3 linked regions of the Xenopus tropicalis genome follow. The protein of the gene in region 1 purifies or fractionates together with the protein of each later gene. This does not show direct contact. Links are inferred from orthologs where the notes say so. Each region holds a gene or a part of one and is shown on either strand. Other genes may lie near its edges. The genes, in order: arhgef26, cask and lin7c.

Region 1 (7,125 bases):
CATGTATTTTTCGAGCGTGAGATGAAATGGAAGTATCAAAAAGAAAACCACACACACACAGGCACAGGCAGAACATACAAACTCCTTGCAGAAAGTGAACCTAGGACTCTAACACTGTAAGGGTAATTTCTCAGAGACTACAGTATCGATTTAATCACATAGCTGAAAATGAATTACATGAAGGCATGTAAATACACAACCAAGGTCTCACGAAAAGGTAAGGAATTCAATAACTAAGAAAACTGCCTGGATTTAGTAACAGCAAGCAAAATGGTGTAGTCCAAGTACCTGCAGGCCTCAGAATATAAATCCTTAAAACTTCTTTGGTCTAAAAAGACATAGTACACCACTGGATGGTATGTACAATACCCTTGGGTGGTGATAAGTCTTAACATGTTTAAAATTTGGACTTGGTGCATATACTGTAACCCACATATAAGGCAGACACTGATTAAAAGTATCCAAGTTGTAACTAAGCTACAACTACAGACATGCAAATACTATAGAGAAGAGCTGATAAATGTAATTTTCCAAAGCATATGGACAGCCTGATTCATAATATTACTATAAAATATTCACTTTTATGTCTAACAGAGCAATTGCTAGTCGTTATACATGAACTCATTTACACCATGTAAAGGCACACTTAGGGGCCCATTTAAAGATTTGTTTCAGGCCTTGAAACACTATATGGTATAAATTTGAAGTAACCACGATAATTTCTGTAGTTCTAAAATGTCTCGACAATGCTTTCATCATTTGTACGAAAATATTGTGTTCTGAAAAGTTCATAAACGCCACGAAAACAGTTCTGGCTCAGTGGCACTCGACAGATCAAACCTGTCAAAAATATAGTCCCGATGAAAGTGTAACCAAAGCGTTAACGAATTCCGAAATGTTCATATTCTTTGCGCAAAGTACGTTTTTTTTGTGGAAATTTACCAAAAACCACAAAAAACTTGTGGAATTTTAAGGAAATTTTCGTGTACACTCCAAAATGTTCATAATTTAGAAAAAATATGAATTTATCTGAAAATTGTTTAGTAAATGGGCCCCTTAGCTTGCAGTATAACATCTCTGCACTACATACTAACATATCCATTAATGTTTATGGAAAGGTCGGCATTTGGATACAAGCCAAGTATAGGTTTAAATAAATGTATGTCTTACTGGGCACTAGAATGCAACAATTGAAATTCTACCGATATTCTTACAAACAATTAAGAACTTTGGCACTTACCTTCCCAACTTCTTTTAGAGCATGCTTACTTGCCTCATACTTAGCAGACTCTTTTGGGGTTTTCTGACATATTGTCTGGAATGAAATATTCTTAGTGTTACATTCTGCATTCTCTACGTGCTCAGCTAAAAATAAGCAAATTCAAATTACAAGATCTTTAACAGAAAACTATTATAGTTTGCCCTTGTTAAACGTTGAGGAACTAGAGTAACAGACTGGAATAATTCTAGCCAACTTCATGACCATAAAATGTAAGGCATTATTATTTATTTCAAACTCTGATGATTAGTCTTTCAGTCTAATAGAATATGGTACAAAGGAAATGCAAAAATGACACTTTGGGCAAGGTCGTTGGAGTCCCTGTAGACAGAGTAGAAAGCAGGGTTGATAACATATTGCTACTGTTAGGGCTCTGGCACACGGGGAGATTAGTCACCCGCAACAAAACTCCCTGTTCGCGGGCGACTAACCTCCCCGGATTGCCATCCCACCGGCAAAAATGTAAATCGACGGTGGGATGGCATACGCGGCGGCGCGATTTCACTAATCTCCCCGTGTGCCAGAGCCCTAATGATGTATGGCAGTTTGGACACTAGAGCATCAAAGTCTGTTTTTATATAGGATCAGTCTCTAGCTCTTTAGAAGATCTTAACATTTACAGTGTCGCCAGCAAGAGAATTGTAACCAAAGTGATCTGAAACACCAAGCAATAATTAAATGAATATATCAACTACAAAACCTGCTTTTTTATTACAGCCCATTCCAGGTGTTGATAACAACTTCCTGCCTGTCTCTGTTAAATGCTCTTTTAACTGGTAGACCAAGTCGTCTACCATATACCCTCTTTTATGATTACAGTCATTACCAGCTTGCGGGAATCTCTTATGGCCACAATGGAATACACTCTGCTAAACTAACAAACTCTGCACTCTAGATGAACTGCTTGAGGTAGGTTTCATTTTAAAGGCTGAACTCAACATAAGAGTGCCTTTTTTTAATCTAAATGACTATGTTACTGTGTAGATTCATGTTACTATGTGGTTATCAGAATGCTTCTGAGACACTTGTGCTTGAATAATTCTAATAATGTATTAAAGTTTGAACAGTTGCACAATATAAAGGATAGGCTGTGGAATTTTTAGATTGATTTTATGATATGAACTTTGTGTGCTATTTTTTAAATATAAAGATAATGATTGAATGCATCAGTAGATCTACATAAGCAGAGATAGCCTCTCAGACTACAGAGCACATGAATACTATGCCAGGAATTCATCAATTTGCAGAGCGGGTTTTTATATTTATCTTGTGGGATTAATTCAATATTACACTATCAGCGGTTGTTTGTGCCTGCACTCCGTGAGTTACTCATTTGTTCACAATAATGTGCCTCTACATGAAATGTAATGTATCTTTGAAATGCTTACATCCATGAGGAGAGGAAGGCGAGTCACTCTCTGCATAGGAAGGATAAGGAAAGAGATCATTGGAAGATTCCTGCACTCTTCATGCGATTCAATTTTAGACAGCGCTTCTTTGAAAGATGAATTGGTCAATCTGTATTAGCAAGATAAATATCATTAGTGAACTATTTTGAGACAAACAAAAACATTAAAGGGGAACTCCACCCAAAAACAACTTAAGCTTTTTGAAGAGCAAACATAATTTTAGGCAACTTTGCAATATACATCAGTTAAAAAATTTGCAGCCTTTTCATGATTTTTCATTTAATAATATGGTTTGGAACGGTTACCTAAGCCCTGCCCCCAGTTCTGCAGATCTGGCTGTTACACCAGTCGACTATCCTCAGCCTGCATCCTCTAAATCCCCCAATTCCCTGCACACTTAGGGGTATATTGATCATGCAGTGTAAAAAGTGGAGTAAAACAACACCAGTGATGTTGCCCATAGCAGCATCAGATGTTTTGCTTTATTTTCTAATTGTTGAAATCTAATTGCTGATTGGTTGCCCTCGGCAACATCACCGGTAATGCTTCACTCTACTTTTTACACAGCATGATAAATATAACCCTTAATGTCAATAAGGAAAGGAATATTGCAGTGCAGTGCATTGTGGGGTATGTAGTTCCTACATGATGCCTGTAAGCTGCGGAAAATGTGTTAGGATTTGTAACATCAGTGTTTTAGTCCCTCCTCCCATGGCAGAATTTCGAATTAGGCATGTACTGAATCCAGGATTCGGTTTGGGATTCAGTGAAGATTCAGTGAAGATTCAGTGAAGATTTGCCGAATCCAGGTGTCTGGTCAAACCGAATCCTTAAAATCACATGACTTTTGGTCATGAGAACACAGAAATTAAAGAAAAAATTAGGCGTGCTTCTACTTAACCCTTCCTTAGCCTTATTTGGGCATGCAAATTAGGATTCGGAGTTGGTTCGGTATTCAGCTGAATCTTTCACAAAGGATTTGGGGTTTGCCTGATACCAAAAATAATGGATTCAGTGCATCACTGTTTCAAACGATGATATACCTATTACAGTATATTAGGGGTTTCTGTGTTGTGCAGGGCTCTTTAACAAATTTTGGGTCTGAAGCCAGAGTTCTCCTTTAACATTTAAAATATAGACAGTTGGTAGAACAGTTGGCAGACTGTCTAAAGTCTAAAGCCTTTGGTTATGAGCCACTTTAGCTAATAATATGGTTCTAAAGAAAAATATCAGTGTCTTTCTGTAGTTCCCAAGTTCCAAGAGTTCTAGGACAACAATAAATTTTTCACCCTAACTGTGGAGCTTTTAGAGGCATCTAGAAGAGCAAACAGACAGAGTCCCCAAATCTTACACAACCTGTTCTACAGCCTGAGCCTCCTGCCAAGACCCTCTGTTTTAGATACATTTGGACATTTGATCATAAAATCAAGGACATAAACATTAACAAAAAATTCCCCTTAGTATAAACAGCATGTTATATTTGTTACGCCTGCTTTAATCTGCCCAGGCAGAAAATGATAGACTGCTCAGGATATAGGAAAATAAAACACTACATAACTGCATGGAGCGGTGAAAACCTCCCACCCCCAACAAAAACAACCAATAAAATAATGAGGAAAGTTATAGATCTACTGCCACGTCCTCATACATTAATCTCTGCAGCGTCCTTTGCTGGTAGACTTCATTAGTGCAATACTTCACGTAGGGATCGAATGTTGCCTTGGCATGCTTTTCAACAATATCACTAATGTCTTCTATAAGAATGTTCCTTTGATGTCTTCCTTCCAGCTCTTTAAAAAACCTGTACAACAAAACAAAACTCTAAGTTATTGTTAAGGAGAACATAGAGGAGGAGGAGTTAGGAAATTGGGTAATGCTATTTTATTTACAGGCCTTACAGCTTAAAGTCACTAATTACAAGTTAAATGAAAGCACCTGTACTTGACACTTAATGGTCTATTTTCCATGCAGCGGAAGATGAATGTCTGATACCTGGCACAATTATTCAAATAATAATAAAAAGGAAGAAGCAAGATATTATATTACAGCTATGTCGCTGGTTGCCAAGCACAATGTTTATTCATGCTAATCCCCATCGTAACTATGATGTTGAGTAATAGGAGCAGCTCTGAGGCACAGCACAGGCAGCATTTGCAGAACATTAAGTTCTTTTGGTCTTTTTGGAGGTTCCAAAGGACATTTAAAAATACTTATTGAAAAAAAAAAAAGATAACCATCTAAAATTAAGATATTTTTCACATTAAAGCTTATTTATAAATATACTAAATGGAGTATAAAAGGAATTATAAGAATTAGGTTTGTGTTATATATAAGGAATGTTTTGTTGTTAGGAATATTATATCATGTAGAACTATATAAAGTAATGTTAGACTCATTTATACTTTATGGTAAACCACTGAGAAGAAGCTAGTGCTCTGGATAATCCTGGATGACAAGGTTTAGTCCACATTCTGAATGTCAGTTTTAGTCCTTATAATGTTACATCTATTGATAAAACAAATCTTTAGTTTATCATCTTTAAGACCACAAAATATCAAACCTTACAATATGCAAGTCTTTATGACTCTCTACTGTATAAGGTTGTGATCAAATGGATAATTTTGTTAAAGTCACTCAAATTGTGAGTAACTTGAGCATACAGGAACAGAGACACCAGTGAGTATCAGCTGAGACACCAACTCAGGTATTCAAGAGGACATAACCTCCCAAAGTCAATTTTAAGTCACTAGGATGTAACTTTGTCACTTTGTATAGTATGGGCTCAGTATTTGATGGTGAGTTAATGGGCATTTCTATAGTGCCTGAAATGTTAGCTATGCATTCAGAATATCACCTATTGTTATACTGACCAGTCCCACTTAATCTTTATGTTTCCTACTTTCCTATGGTTTCCTTTAAATACCAGGTGACTAATAATTCCCCACTTGGCCAGAGATATTAAGAGAGATGGCCAGAGATGTCTAAGCAGCCAAGTGTTCCTTCCGTATTCATTTTGAAGTCCAACTAGGAATTGGCAAATACGTGTACAAAGCGTCCTGTGAAGCAAAATATACTCAGATCTGAGGCTTATAAAGTTAGACTGACTGGGCAACATGGCAGATGGAATAATTGAATTTGTCAGATGAAGTTTATAATTGTCATAAAAACTCATACATGTCATTTCCCAAGACCAAACTAAGATAAAAGTCTGTGTGTTATTGTTTCTGTTTGATCTCTTGTTGCTCAAGATGCTCTTTGGTAACACAGGCAGGATAACTCCTATTGCTCCTTGTCATTTTATGTTATTAATAACTTATATTCATTACAAACATAAGTGCTATACTCTCTATCTATGGAATAGGATATATGTTTAGTTGCACTTTATTCCATTTAGGTGACTGAATGTGAATCTGTTAAATCTGCACCCAATTTTGTTTCGCCTAGACAATAATTTATGAGAATAATAAGTATATTTTGGGAGGACCATTCCATTTACATATATAATCAGGAGAAAGTGTACTAGGATTTCATTTTCAAGGTAGGGCCAAAAACAAGGTTTTATTGGTATGTATACAGCTTCTTTAAGTCTGGGAGGGACAGGTGGTGGAATGTTATAAACAGGACCCTCCCTTTTGAGGCAATTAACTTAAAAACAAGTAAATTGAAGCACATGGGTAAGATTCTACGGGATTTTTGCACAGAGCACTTTAAGGCTTCACATTGGTGTAACCTCTGTACATCCAATGTGGGTTGCTTTGCCTAGGACATAAGGTCTAACATATTTATTATTAAACAAAATCACTTCACATACTGACTTACTAATCCCAACGTTGGGTGTCTGCTTCCAAGTGGTTCACTTTATAAGGGTCCGAATTTATTGGGAATTTAATATTATTTATTTAATATTATTTAACTTTTCTGAAAAATCTAAACTATCATTACGTTGACAAAATTTTATCTCATACAAAGGAAATCAGCTGCAGATAAAAGAAGGTACCAACTGGATTATGGCCACTTTATACTATGATATATACATTATACAATATATATATGTTTACAATGTATAAATGTCATGTGTCACCTAGGTGTCAGCAAAACAAATACAAAGAAGCAGCGAACCACGCCATAGGAATGGTTTCGTTTTTATTTCTATTCAAACAAGCAAAAACACTTGCAAGGTAAATAGCCACAAGATTAAAGCATTAAATAAGATTAAAAACATTTTTTTTTTTAAAGATTAACATTTTTCACGGGATAAAATAGACTGTTGTCCGTACAACAAATTACCTTTCCTACCAAGTAAACATATTGACCTGTAAGTAACATTTCCTTAAACACAGTTAGGAATCAGGTTTGTATGTGTGATGTAACTGCTAATAAAATTGTGCAAGGAGGTACTTTATCCCTTTCAGAGTTCAACTTACAGTAGTATTGTGG
Region 2 (6,864 bases), on another chromosome or scaffold:
TTCCCGCTTAGATTACTGCAATCTCCTACTAACCGGCCTCCCAGACTCCCACCTCTCTCCCCTGCAATCAATCTTAAACTCTGCTGCCAGGATCCTCCTGCTCTCTCCTAAGAGGGATCCTGCTCAGCCTCAATTAAGCTCACTAGCATGGCTGCCTGTCAAGCAAAGGATAGCTTACAAAATCCTTCTGCTGACATTCAAAGCCCCTTCACTCCTCTGCTCCTCACTACATTTCTTCACTGGTCTCCCTACATGTTCCTGGTCATCTCCTCCGCTCCTCTCAGAGCCTCCGTCTGTTTACACCATCCACACCCACTGCGCTCTCTCGTCTTAAACCTTTCTATCTCGCTGCTCCTTACCTCCTGGAACTCTATCCCTGAATCCCTCCGTAGGGAACACTCACCCACTCTCTTTAAGAAAAAACTCAGCTGTTACCTTCTGGAGCACTAAGACATTATGCCCATACATGAGGCACTCCTACCTTCCAGTTTGTGCCTGTATGTTACCCAACCACTCAGATTGTAAGCTCTACGGGGCAGGGATCTCCTTCCTACTGTGTCTCATACCACATGGCACTTATATACATATATATATATATATACATATATGTATTTATTTATTATATCACTCGTCCTCCCTGTGTGTAATTTTGTATTCTGTAAGACTGTACAGCGCTGCGTACCCTTGTGGCGCTTTATAAATAAAGTTATACATACATACATACATACATGTACCTTGTTGTACTAATGCAGTCGTTAGCCTCTTCCTGCTTGAGTTAAATGGACATTTAGGTTTCATTTAGCTTTTTTTTTACCATGCCTTTCTCCATTGCTTTAATAGGAAAGAAGGAAGCCTTATAAAAGCCAATCGGTGGCAGCCCTTACTAGCCTCCATGGATTGCTTTATACTATCCCCAATACATCTTCAGTCCATTAAGGGAACATTTATGATTGCTTGAACCTTTTGGCTTGAGCAATCAAGGGAAACCCTGTGTGAGTTGAGGGTTTCAGGGGAAAATACCTTAAGGTGGCCACACACGTGGCGATCTGCAATCCGATTCAGCCCTGATGGCAGATTTTGCTCAGGCGCCTTCTATGGCGCCCGATCAAAATCTTTTGACCTGGCCGATCGGCGAGTCGACCGATATGAGCAGCCTCCTGCGATACCAGTCAACTCGCCGACTTGCCATACACACACCGAATATCGTACGAAACGAGGTTTCGTACGATATTATCGGTGCGTGTATGGCCAGCTTTAGTTAGTTGAGGTTAAATAATAAATGCCTGAAACTTTTTATTATTTAAGAAAGCCCACTTAGGGGAAAAAAAAAGCTCAACCAACAAATCATTTTTACCTGAAACCCTATGTGAGTTCCTTTGATTGCTCTAGCCAAAATGCTTAGGCAATCATAAATGTGCCCTTAAGTCACACACACTCCTTCATAAGCTACTGAGACTTTAGTAATTAGCATAAATTAAGGAGCCTTCATTAGCTTTATCCATCCATAGATCGTGAACCTGAACTGATTACCTAATATCTAATGTAATCCAGTTAGAAGCATGCTGCAGAATGTGTTGGCTGGAAGATGTTTTTTACATTATAGCTAAAAAGTTGTGCAGCATGTGGCTTTAAAGGAACAGTAACACCAAAAAATAAAAGTACTTTAAAGTAATAAAAATGCACTGTTGCCCTGCACTGGTAAAACTGGTGTGTTTGCTACAGTAACACTACTATAATTTATATAATAAGCTGCTGTGTAGCCACGGGGGCAGCCATTCAAGCTGGAAAAAAGGAGAAAAGGCACAGGTTACATAGCAGATAACAGATAAGTTCTGTAGAATACAATAGTGTTTTATCTGTTATCTGCTATGTGCCTGTGCCTTTTCTCCTTCAAATGGCTGCCCCCATACTACACAGCAGCTTATTTATATAAATTATAGTAGACTTTCTGAAGTAAACGCACAACTTTTATCAGTGCAGGGCAGCAGCACATTATATTTTAGTTACTTTTATACACTTTAAATTTTTGGTGTTACTGTTCCTTTAATACAGACAGATAACACTTGCAGCATTTTATTCAGAGTCCTACCGGTTGTGCCAATCATGCTCTTGATGTACTGTCCTGGGTTAACATGTACTGGGGCCATATATCCTAAATCCCGGGTGATTAGTTAATTTGCAGAAACAAGTTACCACTGGGTTTCACTGCAGCCATGCTGTATGCAGCAAAATACATTATTAGCCAGGCAGCGTTGATTTGGATTCATATGTTTCTGGCTTTACAGAATGAGGCAACAACCTTAATCCACTGCATCTTTAAGTGATTCAGTAGGTTGGAGAACCTATCAAACAATATCTTTATTCTGTTAGTTTTATACTCAGCAGAGGAGCGGGTAGAGAGTGAGACTTTTGGTTTTACAAAGAAAAAAATCACATTGTACAAGGTGTTGTGTCAAATTCGATCTTTCTATGAAAAAAGTCAGACCCTTAAGGTGGGCATATACTGTGCAGTAGTACCATTGTAATGTTCTGTTCCTTTGGTACAACCACCTGGCAATTTGGAAGAGCAGGAAATGTGTAGGGAGAGCTGTATCTTTTCTCTTCCTGTCAACTGACTGAAGGAAATCTCTAATTGGCCACACAACTTGAAATACATGCCCAGTAAACTCGAAGAAAGGAATGCCCACTTAGAAACAACTAGGCTATGATTTGGTGCCTTACAGCATGAAATACGTAAGACTTTTATGGACATGTAAACGTTAATATATATGTTTTATTTGACCTGAGCCTGTCACGTTGGATCTTTGAGTGCCTGCTCATCTTCTGTATATGCATGCCCAACTGGTCGGGCAGTACTGATATGTGGGTTGACTATTTGTCGACCTGCAACAGACCCTAACCTGCCCCACTTCCACCCATGCCCGAACTGGCCCTCAGCTTTGCATCTATTTTTACGGACCTGGACTCGACCTGACATCACTGAGGGGATGGGGCAGGCAAGTGCTTATAAATAGCTAACACCAGACCTGCGCACACCTGTGACCCACAAGTTGGGTGGGTTTGAAATTGGCCAAAACGCTATACTAAATATGGGCATGATGTGCCTTCTGAGCACCAGAAATTAAGGTTGTGTTGCTCTCCATATAATGGATTTTTTTTTTGCTTTGTAACAATAGTTAATAAAGCAAAGTATCAGAAGTTGGTTGTTTGTGTAGCAGAGGGTTAACAATAGTGTTTTCTTCCTCACTGTCTAATGGTAGTTGTTTGTTTTATAACATGGTTCTGTATAAAAGTATATTGTTTATTTGATAAAGGAAAAGGATTCTGTTTGAAAAGCTCATGTAGAATCTAGGCCATTTGAAGCTTAGTACAGGTATGGCATCTGTTATCTGAAATGCTTGGGACATTGGGTTTTCTAAATTATGAATCATTTCGTAACTTGGATCAACATGATAGGATTCCTTTCACTGCAACAGAACCCCTTTAAGTCTGCTTAAAAACCATTAAACATGAAATAAACCAAAGAAGCCACCAATATGGATTCATGCAGTTTAGGTACATCAAGTACAAGGTACTGTTTTATTACTATAGGGAAAAAGGAAATCATTTTAAAAAATTAAAATTATTTGCTTAAAATGACATCACGGATTTCTAGATAACCGATCCCATACCTGTACTAAATATTGAGATTTTTTTTCTCACTTTTTAATATTACTTTGCAGGATGAGTCTCTTCAGCGCCTGCAGAAGGAATCGGAAATCCTCCAGAGAACATACGCACACTACTTCGATCTTACGATTATCAACAATGAGATTGACGAAACGATTAGGCACCTGGAGGACGCCATCGAGCTTGTGTGCACAGCACCGCAATGGGTTCCCGTATCCTGGGTCTATTAGACCACTCTCAAGATAACTGTCAGCATTTTATTACTTCAGACCACCTTGTGCAGTACTTGGAGAAACCTCTCGTTGACTTTTTCAACCATTCTTGGCCCCTAGAGACTACCTATATGTAGTGTGGCATAAATTTATAATTATCGTCATGTCCTATTAGATGGAAAAGAAACCTAAGCAAATTTTAATGCTAATTTAAAGAGACAGTATCTTTTTTACCTTTTGATTTATCCTAGATTGTATTAAAATAACATTTTTGAAATATATGCATTAATCAATTGTTTGGAATGTTATATTTTTGGAAACCATTGGGTTTTTTTTTTTTGTTTCAAAGGCCTCTGAAAACTGCACAAAATGATATGCTGCTTTCTATTATCTATTTTAATAATGTAAACATTTGAGTTTTTCTTTTACCAGGGGTGTCACACTACATTCTTCTGAGAGTCTTAGGTCAAAAATCAGATTAGCAAAGGCACTATTTAATTTATTGGAATAATATAGCCTGCATCTATTAAAGTGTGAATTTCCATGTCACAATGCCCTTTTTATTTTAGATGGAAAAAAACCCTTTACTGCATACCGCTTTTATTTGATACTGTCTCTTTGAAGAAATCTGTAAACTATTAGAGATATGAAATCGGGTCTTAATGCATGTGGACAGTCGCAAGCGTTTATACTGTTGGTGTATCTGTGTTGAACAAAGCTGTAACCTACTTACAGAAACATACATTCCGTTCATGGGAAGTCGTACCCCAAGGGAACTGAATACAATGAATATAACCAAGTTGTAAACCTATGCACATCCCTTGCATTTTGGGCAACTTTATAAGAAAAAAAACAGAGAGAAATGATTTTTATTATTAATCATGTAGTGAAATGTGTTTGTAACTTTGTCTCAATTTAATTTGTTGTAAACAGGAGGGTAATGACTGATTCTTTTGCCATTTCAGATCCGTGTTTGTCTGAGAGTATTAACGTTTTAATTCAGTTGAAACAGAGAAATGCTCTTTGTTTTTTGTTTTTAATGCGTATCTAATTGTGACAAAATGCACAAGTTTTCCGAATGTGCGCAAGGCGGTTGGGGATTCCTATCAAGTAAATATCCCATAGGTTCTATTTAATGAAGAAAAAAAAAGAAAAAAAAAAAGCCCTGTAAATTCTTCAGAAAAAAATGAAAAATGATTATAGTCTGACCAATATTTTATTATTTTTTTTAAATATACTTCCTTTTATGTGTTCCATAATAAAAATGCCTTTGGGTCATTCATTATTCATCAACATGGCTGGGAAATAAACCTGTCTTAATTCTGGTAATGCGTTGGATGATTGTATAGTTAGTCTAGTGATTGCATAGTGTGTTTGCTCCGAGGAAGCCGCCGTCGCTAGGCAAGACTTCTCTCTTCCATTTGCTCAATACAATCATTGAAATATGAAGCACAAGTGTATATGTTTAGGCACAATGAGATGAACTGCAGCTGTGAATGAAACTCAATTTCATACTTTTGAGCGATTTAAAGAAAATCTCTACAGTCAATAATATGTAGTAAATAAAGGGTTAGTTTTATTTATATTCTTTCAAGGCTAAGACAAGTCAATTTTTAAACCACATTTATATGGGGTCTTCCGGTAATCACTTTCTGACTGAGCTATACGTCAGTATATTCTCTTCATATGAAGGTTTTATCCATATTACTGTATTCTCTCTCTTTATTGGTAAGGGCAGTGTCCATGGCCAAACAGAATTATATCTAAGGACCAAGTATAGGTGAGAAAATGTGTTTTATTTTGTTTGCCTACCAATGCCGATGCTTCTGTTCATGTGAAACTGGTACTGTATAACTGTGCCGTTGCCCAGTGTGTTTGCCTAAAGCTTCTTCCAAATGGTACGGTCTAAAGTTCTTTCTTTTTAAGAGATCAAGTCCTGTTGAATGTGGTTTTTTATCTTCTGGCCATACTGTGTTACACACCAATTGTGATTGTCTTCATTAAACACTTGGGAATTTTTTTTTTTTTTATAATGTCTTACTGAAAACACCACATTTAACTGGGGTAACCATTCATTTAGGGGTTTGCTAGAATGAGTCTCCTGCGAGACCTGTTTGACATAGGAAACATATCAATAACATTATCTAATATCAAAGCCTCTCCTCCGCAATGATTTTATAACTGTGTCGCAAGGAGACACTACTGGTGCTAGAGAAAATATATATATATATATTTCATGCTTTTGCTCAGTAGGTTTGTTTTTAATACATCGATATCTTCCAAACCCAGGGAAGTCCAGCCTGCCACCCATAGCTGTTACTAAGAACTGCAGTTCAGCAGTAGCTGGAGATTGGACGGCCCTCTTCTGACCTACGTCTGGTTTTATTGTTTTAAAATGTTGCCAAGAAAATGTTTCCAGTGCCTGTTTATAATCCTATAACATAGACTTTATATCCATGTTAATTATTTCAAATGTACGATCATAGCATTTCACTAGCCGTCGCTTCCACATACCTTTGTTTTATTGCATGTTGGGAAATCTGTCATCGCTTTGATCGTAGCCAAGACAAAGGGCTATATGTCATTTAATTGTGCATATAAATGAAAGATTAATTGAACATCAGCCCTTCTGCCATAACAAATTAACGTGTGGTCCAGTTCGTTCTTTCAACTTCCACACCAGTAATTTCTGGAAGTAAACTGTGAACATGGGTGGCATTATTTTTATTGAATACCAGTTGTTTTGTGAAAAGTATGTACATCTGACTAAAGCATATGGGTAACAAATATCTTAATCCGTTCTAGAAGTCTCAACTGTACATAATGAATTATAAAGGAAGAAACAGACACTGTTACTTTGTAAAATTGGTTAATTGGCATTAAACCAGGTAAAATATCGTTGTAAAATGTTATCCCTGTGTGCAGTTTTCTGTGCAGCGTTGTCATTTCATTAAAAAAATGTATGTGCACATAAAATAAAAAG
Region 3 (7,125 bases), on another chromosome or scaffold:
GAAGTTTCTATATCATCCGGCTGCCTGGGAAAGGGAATATGTCACAAGCCACAGCATTAAAGGGTAAGTAACACCAAATATCAAGCCCCTTTTTTGCTGTTACCAGTCCTTAAAAAAAAAATAAATAAAATAGAAGCCCTTAAAAAGTCTAGTACCTACGGTTGCAACCTACTCTCTCCATCCTGAGAAGTTGTCTTGTCGTACCCATAGGAGACTGCCATATTCCTTGCCTTTCAGTAATGCTCAGTACAACTGCTGGTAAAGGGCTTGTTCACCTTTAAATTAACTTTTGGTTTCATGTAGACATTGATATGCTAAGACCATTTGCAGCTGGTCTTTGTTTATGTCATAGTTTTTTTTTTTTTTTTTAGTTATTTAGCTTTTTGTTCAGCAGCTCTCCAGTTTGGTATTTCAAGTGCTATCTGGTTGCTAGGGTCTTATTTACCCCAGCAACCAGACAGTAGTGAGACCGGACTAAGAATAGGAGGGGACCTGAATAGAAAGATAAGTAATAAAAATAAATAGCAATAAAATTATGAGATCACAGAGCAATAGTGTTTTGGCTGCCGGGGTCAGTGACCCCCATTTGAAAGCTGGAACGAAACAGACTAGGAACGCAAATAATTGAATTAAAAAAAAATAAAGAAGACCAATTGTAAAGTTACTTTAAAGGTGAACTACTACTACTACTGTGTACTGTTCTGAGCTTGCCCATTCCTCAGTCTATATGGTGTATGGTAACTGGAGTGAGGGCAATAAGCCCAAGGGCTAGAGGCAAACTGCCCTGGCCAAGCTATGTCGCCACTCTACCGAGCAATGAAAAATGCTTTTGGGGACAGGGAAGCAAAACAGCATCTCCCGCATTCTGAACAGATGCAAATAGACAAAACAAGTAACATAAATGCCATATAAACACACCATAAACACAATATATTTGCTATTTAAAAGCTGCTTTAGGGATAGCTTCATGAACGTATACACACAACCAGGTTATTAAATAATCAAATCCCCCTCAATAGGGCCTTTTCTAGCCTTAAATCTATTGTGAATTATAATGTTAAAAAGAATAAAGCTAAACAAACACTGCCCTCTAGAGGAAAGGAAAGGGACTGCAGCATTTTCTAACAAAACATTTCCCATACAAATGCAGATCCCTGGGGCTAAGACATTGTAGTGTATTTCGCTGTCGTTATACTGCCACCCAGTGGCGCCAACAGTATCTGCAGTCAAAGCAGAAAGAACTTTCTGTGTGCGTGTTTTCAAGCTGCCCACATTTTTGCTTAAGACAGACAGGCTAATGATTCTACAGGATATATTTTGGGTTTCGGTTGCTCAGATTCACATTACGCAGGTCTGTGACAATTCAATTAACAAGACAATCTTAATGAGAACATTGCACTTTACATCACAAATGTGATGCGCTATAGTATCTGCCCAGCTACTAACCTGCACCCACTTATAGACAGACCCCCCGCTGAGGGACGTGAGCCCCTTGCACCATACAGATAAGCACAGGACAATGGAGGATCGCAATAGTACAAAGATTGCCGTTACAAACCTAGGATTACGCCACTGTATTAAAAATGTTTTAAAATTCTCTTGAGGTTTAAAAAAAGGAGGGTAAGTAAAAACTGCCCTGTAAACGTTACGTTAGAAAGACTGGTTGGGTATTGAGACTCCGTGTGCAAAACGAGAAGCACCAGTTGCTCTGGTAGTGGTGGTGGTGGGTGGGGGGGGGGGGGGGGCTGCAGACCTGCACAGGGTGGGCCTGGAAGGAGCAGCGCCTCGGTACCTCTCACGTCAATACAAATTTATTGGATAGTGGAATTCAGAGTTTGTGTCTTGTGTCTACCGACACATTTGCCTAGTTCTGCTGCCGGCGCTTGGCCGATCGCATTTTCTCGAACCGGGACTCCATCTCTTCCAGGACCCTCGGCGTGTATCGGACCACCAGCTTCACCTTCCCTTGAGCGGCTTTCAGAAGTTCCACGGCTTTCTCGTGGTGCTCGCCCTCCACGCTCTGTGAAAGCAGAAACACAAATGTAATTCAGCAACGCAAGCAGAGCTCTGGGCTAACAGGGGTTAAATGCGGAATTATGACATCACTGGGCCCTGAATCATGTAACTGGGGGCAGGTCTGGACTAGGAGTCAAAATAGGCCCTGGCATTTCAAGTACAGAGGCCCAAACAGCCCCCCCCACCAGGCCAATAAATAGTGACTGTCTATGGCATCTTACAGCAGCCCCTTTGGCATTTGCCAGAACCCACAGATTGCTAGTCTGGGCCTGCCTGGGGGTGTGGCTAGATGAATGGAACTTTCAATAGCAGGAGCAGCTCATAACGTGTAATGGGTACAAGTATGATTATTTTCCCTATTTACCCCCCTTGCTTGCAGCATATGTCCTATTAGCTACAGCCTATTCCTAGAAGTGCTTGAAATATACGAGCATAGGAGGTATGTTCATACCACGCCATTAACAGAAAGCAGCTGGTCCCCACGCTTGAGTCCTCCATGACGGTCTGCAATCCCACCAGGAATAATACGAGAGATGTAGATGGGGGAGTTCTGCTCTTTTCCCCCCATTATGTTGAATCCAAGGCCCTCTTCTGTTTTGGGGAGCTCCACCACTCGGGGGTGGGAATGGCCTTCACTTGCAGCAAAGGCAGCCACAGTAGCCTGAAAAACATGGAGTATAGATATATAGTTTTATATATACACGAGTGTATCGGTAGGTATGTATAGGCGCACGTGTTTGTGTGTACAAGTTAATTTTATTGAAAATTAAATGTATAGAAAATGTCTAAGTAAACACAAGATTGCGCGCTTAGAATGCTGTTGTTTAAACTAAATCTTCTGTTGAATGCAGACTAACTGTGTGTCCGTACGCAATACATAAGAACTCTATGAAGACCAGATTAATACAGCAATATATGTGTAATGCAAAGAAACAGTGGTATCATGCTGCCATCTAGTGGCTAAAGCACGGCGCTACAGACAGACAGGAAACGAAGCCTTACTCACCTTCGCCGTGGCATTAGCTCTCACTTCTGGGCTGCTGCTGATATCCACCGTTTCATAAACATGTTCATAAACCTGAAAAAGTTAAATGAAGACTCTGTCAGATGCAACAGTTGCTGTTGGGGCTGTTTCACATGTAGAGGTGAACGCAGGCAGCAATGTGACTTCATAGGCTTCCTAATGAGTCAGGCCTGGAACTCTGGCCACCAGAAATCCTACGGTTAAAGGGATCACTGGGTTTCAAGGTCAACTGTCCCTTTAAAAAACACCTATAGCCTTAGTGAAGCATCACAGTGATCAGGGAAAACTCAACCTGCACCGGACCCTAACGTGCAAAATGCTGCCATTGTAGGACCCGCACCCAACCTGTAACCTGCGTCTCTATGCTCTACTTCAGGATCAGGGGAACAGTGCACTTCCATAGTCTAACCCACACCCATCCCGAACCCGCAATGGTCGCCCAGACTTAACCCACCTGACCTAGGCCACACCCACAGGTTGCACAGTTTGCACATAACTACATGACAAAAAGCCATCAAGGGGCAAGCAGTAAACTGAGCTCATAGCCTGTGCTGAGGGATAGCACAGAAGTACTCCCCCTACAGACACCCCTTGTATTGCGCACAATGCAGCAGAAAAATAGAGCGTACAGCAGCCCTTTACTGTGATTCGCTGAATAGGCTAAAAGACAGATGCGTAGTAGTACTATAATACACAGCACATTTAAGGCACAGGTCAGAGGGTTTTATTGTCCTTTAAGCCCAAAATATCCAGCATGAAGGGGGGCTCCCAGCTGTGCTCACACACAGGCAGCCTAAGTGGGGTGTCGCTGGATGCAGGAAAACAATTAGGGTGAAGACACACGGAGCTACTAGTAGCAGCTTTTCATGGCTACTAAACACCAGAAAATCCCCTCCCAATGTAGAGACAATTATCAGTAAAAGATCAGCATTGTCTATTTTAGTAGCCACGATAAGTAGCTGCTACTAGTAGCTCTGTGTGTCTTCACCCTTAGAGTCAAGGGGTGATGTTTGTGTATAGCCCCACATTGCTACAGCAGGGCTGGAGAGCTTGCACTCTAGGGGGACCTAGGGGGAATGGTGCGTACCTCCCTGACGGCGGTGCAGAAGTCACTCTGTAGGACTCTCTGTAGCGCGTGCAGCTTGTGTGGCGGCACCTCCCCGCTCCTCTGTAGCTTCTCCAGCAGCTCGATGGCCCTGTGCACATCTGGAAACATGAAGGAAAACATACTGTTATTTCACACGAGAATTTAAAGGGGATGTAAAGCCAAATACAGGAGTTGGCATATGTAACCTTCTCATATACATTCATTAACTGGAATAGCCATTTATTTATTTGTTATAGTTTTTGAATTATTTGCCTCCTTCTTCCAAGTGTTTGCAGATTTAAAATGGGGGTCGCTGACCCTCTGTGAGGCTACAGTTTTATTGTTACTGTTTTATTATTCAGGTTTCTGTTCATTCCCCCTACTATTCATATTCCAGTCCCTCGTTCCAAACCACTCCTCTCGTATGAAAATATTGTGGTTGTGATCTGAAATTTTCCTTTCTGAACCAGGGCTGTGGAGTCGGAGGCAATTTTGGGTACCTGGAGTCGGAAAAAAATGAACCGACTCCGACTAAATTTAAATGGGAATAAAAAATAAAGCAAGTTTAAATGTCCCAATTCACAAACAGTAATAATTAATTACTTCTCTGCTATAAGAATAAAGCCCAATGCACGCAGTGCATAAACGAACACGTTGAGTGACCATGAAGCTTTTCATTGCCTCTATGAATGTATAAAATACATATTTTTTTTACATATTAAAAACAGAGGAGTCAGAGTCGGAAGTATCAGAAACTGAGGAGTCGGAGAATTTATCTACCGACCCCACATCCCTCTTCTGAACGATCGTAAACTGGCTTTGAAACTTCAATATATGATTTTGGAAGTCTCCCATAGGGCTCAATGGCACTCTGCAGCTCCAACCCGGCCCAAGGAAAGTCTCCCATAGGGCTCAATGGCACTCTGCAGCTCCAACCTGGCCCAAGGAAAGTCTCCCATAGGGCTCAATGGCACTCTGCAGCTCCAACCCGGCCCAAGGAAAGTCTCCCATAGGGCTCAATGGCACTCTGCAGCTCCAACCCGGCCCAAGGAAAGTCTCCCATAGGGCTCAATGGCACTGCAGCTCCAACCCGGCCCAAGGAAAGTCTCCCATAGGGCTCAATGGCACTGCAGCTCCAACCTGGCCCAAGGAAAGTCTCCCATAGGGCTCAATGGCACTCTGCAGCTCCAACCCGGCCCAAGGAAAGTCTCCCATAGGGCTCAATGGCACTCTGCAGCTCCAACCCGGCCCAAGGAAAGTCTCCCATAGGGCTCAATGGCACTCTGCAGCTCCAACCCGGCCCAAGGAAAGTCTCCCATAGGGCTCAATGGCACTCTGCAGCTCCAACCCGGCCCAAGGAAAGTCTCCCATAGGGCTCAATGGCACTCTGCAGCTCCAACCCGGCCCAAGGAAAGTCTCCCATAGGGCTCAATGGCACTCTGCAGCTCCAACCCGGCCCAAGGAAAGTCTCCCATAGGGCTCAATGGCACTCTGCAGCTCCAACCCGGCCCAAGGAAAGTCTCCCATAGGGCTCAATGGCACTCTGCAGCTCCAACCCGGCCCAAGGAAAGCCTCCCATAGGGCTCAATGGCACTCTGCAGCTCCAACCGGCCCAAGGAAAGCCTCCCATAGGGCTCAATGGCACTCTGCAGCTCCCAAGGAAAGCTCCAACCTGGCCAAGGAAAGCCTCCCATAGGGCTCAATGGCACTCTGCAGCTCCAACCCGGCCCAAGGAAAGTCTCCCATAGGGCTCAATGGCACTCTGCAGCTCCAACCTGGCCCAAGAAAGATAGGGCTCAATGGCACCCTGCAGCTCCAACCCTGCCCAAGGAAAGTATAGGGCTCAATGGCATTCTGCAGCTCCAACCTGGCCCAAGGAAAGTCTCCCATAGGGCTCAATGGCACTCTGCAGCTCCAGGCCAAGGAAAGTCTCCCATAGGGCTCAATGGCACTCTGCAGCTCCACCCGGCCCAAGGAAAGTCTCCCATAGGCTCAATGCACTCTGCAGCTCCAACCCGGCCCAAGGAAAGTCTCCCATAGGGCTCAATGGCACTCTGCAGCTCCAACCTGGCCCAAGGAAAGTCTCCCATAGGGCTCAATGGCACTCTGCAGCTCCAACCTGGCCCAAGGAAGTCTTCCCCATAGGGCTCAATGGCACTCTGCAGCTCCAACCCGGCCCAAGGGAAGCCTCCCATAGGGCTCAATGGCACTCTGCAGCTTCCAACCTGGCCCAAGGAAAGTCTCCCATAGGGCTCAATTGCACTCTGCAGCTCCAACCCGGCCCAAGGAAAGCCTCCCATAGGGCACAATGGCACTCTGCAGCTCCAACCCGGCCCAAGGAAAGCCTCCCATAGGGCTCAATGGCACTCTGCAGCTCCAACCTGGCCCAAGGAAAGTCTCCCATAGGCTCAATGGCACTCTGCAGCTCCAACCTGGCCCAAGGAAAGCCTCCCATAGGCTCAATGGCACTCTGCAGCTCCAACCCGGCCCAGAAAGTCTCCCATAGGGTCAATGGCACTCTCGGCCAAGGCTCTGCCATGACTCTGCAGGCTCCAACCCGGCCAAGGAGTCTCCCATAGGGCTCAATGGCACTCTGCAGCTCCAACCCGGCCCAAGGAAAGTCTCCCATAGGGCTCAATGGCACTCTGCAGCTCCAACCTCTCCCATAGGGCTCAGTGGCACTCTGCAGCTCCAAATATAGAATGGCACTCTGCAGCTCCAACCCGGCCCAAGGAAAGTCTCCCATAGGGCTCAGTGGCACTCTGCAAGTTAAAAAAATACGAATTTATGTGACAAAAAAAATATTTGTGGTTTAATGAATGGGCCCCTAAGAGTTAACTCAAAGGTGAACAACCCCTTTAAGCTGAATGGTCAGCCCCTGTAGCGAATTGGCATTCAACCTTTTTCAGCAGGATTCAGATTGGGCGAATCAAATTCCTAAAATCAAGTGACTTTTTGTCACAAACACGGAAGTTGAACATTTTTTGTGTCACGCGCA

The links.
Region 2: the proteins of arhgef26 (region 1) and cask purify together in Homo sapiens (affinity purification with mass spectrometry; 3 studies listed by BioGRID and IntAct, with this or other methods). This does not show direct contact. The link is inferred for Xenopus tropicalis from reciprocal best matches to the Homo sapiens genes ARHGEF26 and CASK.
Region 3: the proteins of arhgef26 (region 1) and lin7c purify together in Homo sapiens (affinity purification with mass spectrometry; 3 studies listed by BioGRID and IntAct, counting the BioPlex papers as one, with this or other methods). This does not show direct contact. The link is inferred for Xenopus tropicalis from reciprocal best matches to the Homo sapiens genes ARHGEF26 and LIN7C.

What each region holds. Positions count from the first base shown.
Region 1 is NC_030681.2:116,988,488-116,995,612, forward strand, and holds part of arhgef26 (rho guanine nucleotide exchange factor 26), read right to left. Parts: intron 4,490-7,125; coding exon 4,337-4,489; intron 2,798-4,336; coding exon 2,668-2,797; intron 1,316-2,667; coding exon 1,241-1,315; intron 1-1,240. UniProt on the Homo sapiens protein: Activates RhoG GTPase by promoting the exchange of GDP by GTP. Required for the formation of membrane ruffles during macropinocytosis. Required for the formation of cup-like structures during trans-endothelial migration of leukocytes.
Region 2 is NC_030678.2:56,648,829-56,655,692, forward strand, and holds the end of cask (peripheral plasma membrane protein CASK), read left to right. Parts: intron 1-3,722; coding exon 3,723-3,899; 3' UTR 3,900-5,031; downstream 5,032-6,864. UniProt on the Homo sapiens protein: Multidomain scaffolding Mg(2+)-independent protein kinase that catalyzes the phosphotransfer from ATP to proteins such as NRXN1, and plays a role in synaptic transmembrane protein anchoring and ion channel trafficking.
Region 3 is NC_030680.2:21,042,393-21,049,517, reverse strand, and holds part of lin7c (protein lin-7 homolog C), read right to left. Parts: intron 4,247-7,125; coding exon 4,128-4,246; intron 3,095-4,127; coding exon 3,023-3,094; intron 2,678-3,022; coding exon 2,468-2,677; intron 2,021-2,467; coding exon 1,865-2,020; 3' UTR 1-1,864. UniProt on the Homo sapiens protein: Plays a role in establishing and maintaining the asymmetric distribution of channels and receptors at the plasma membrane of polarized cells.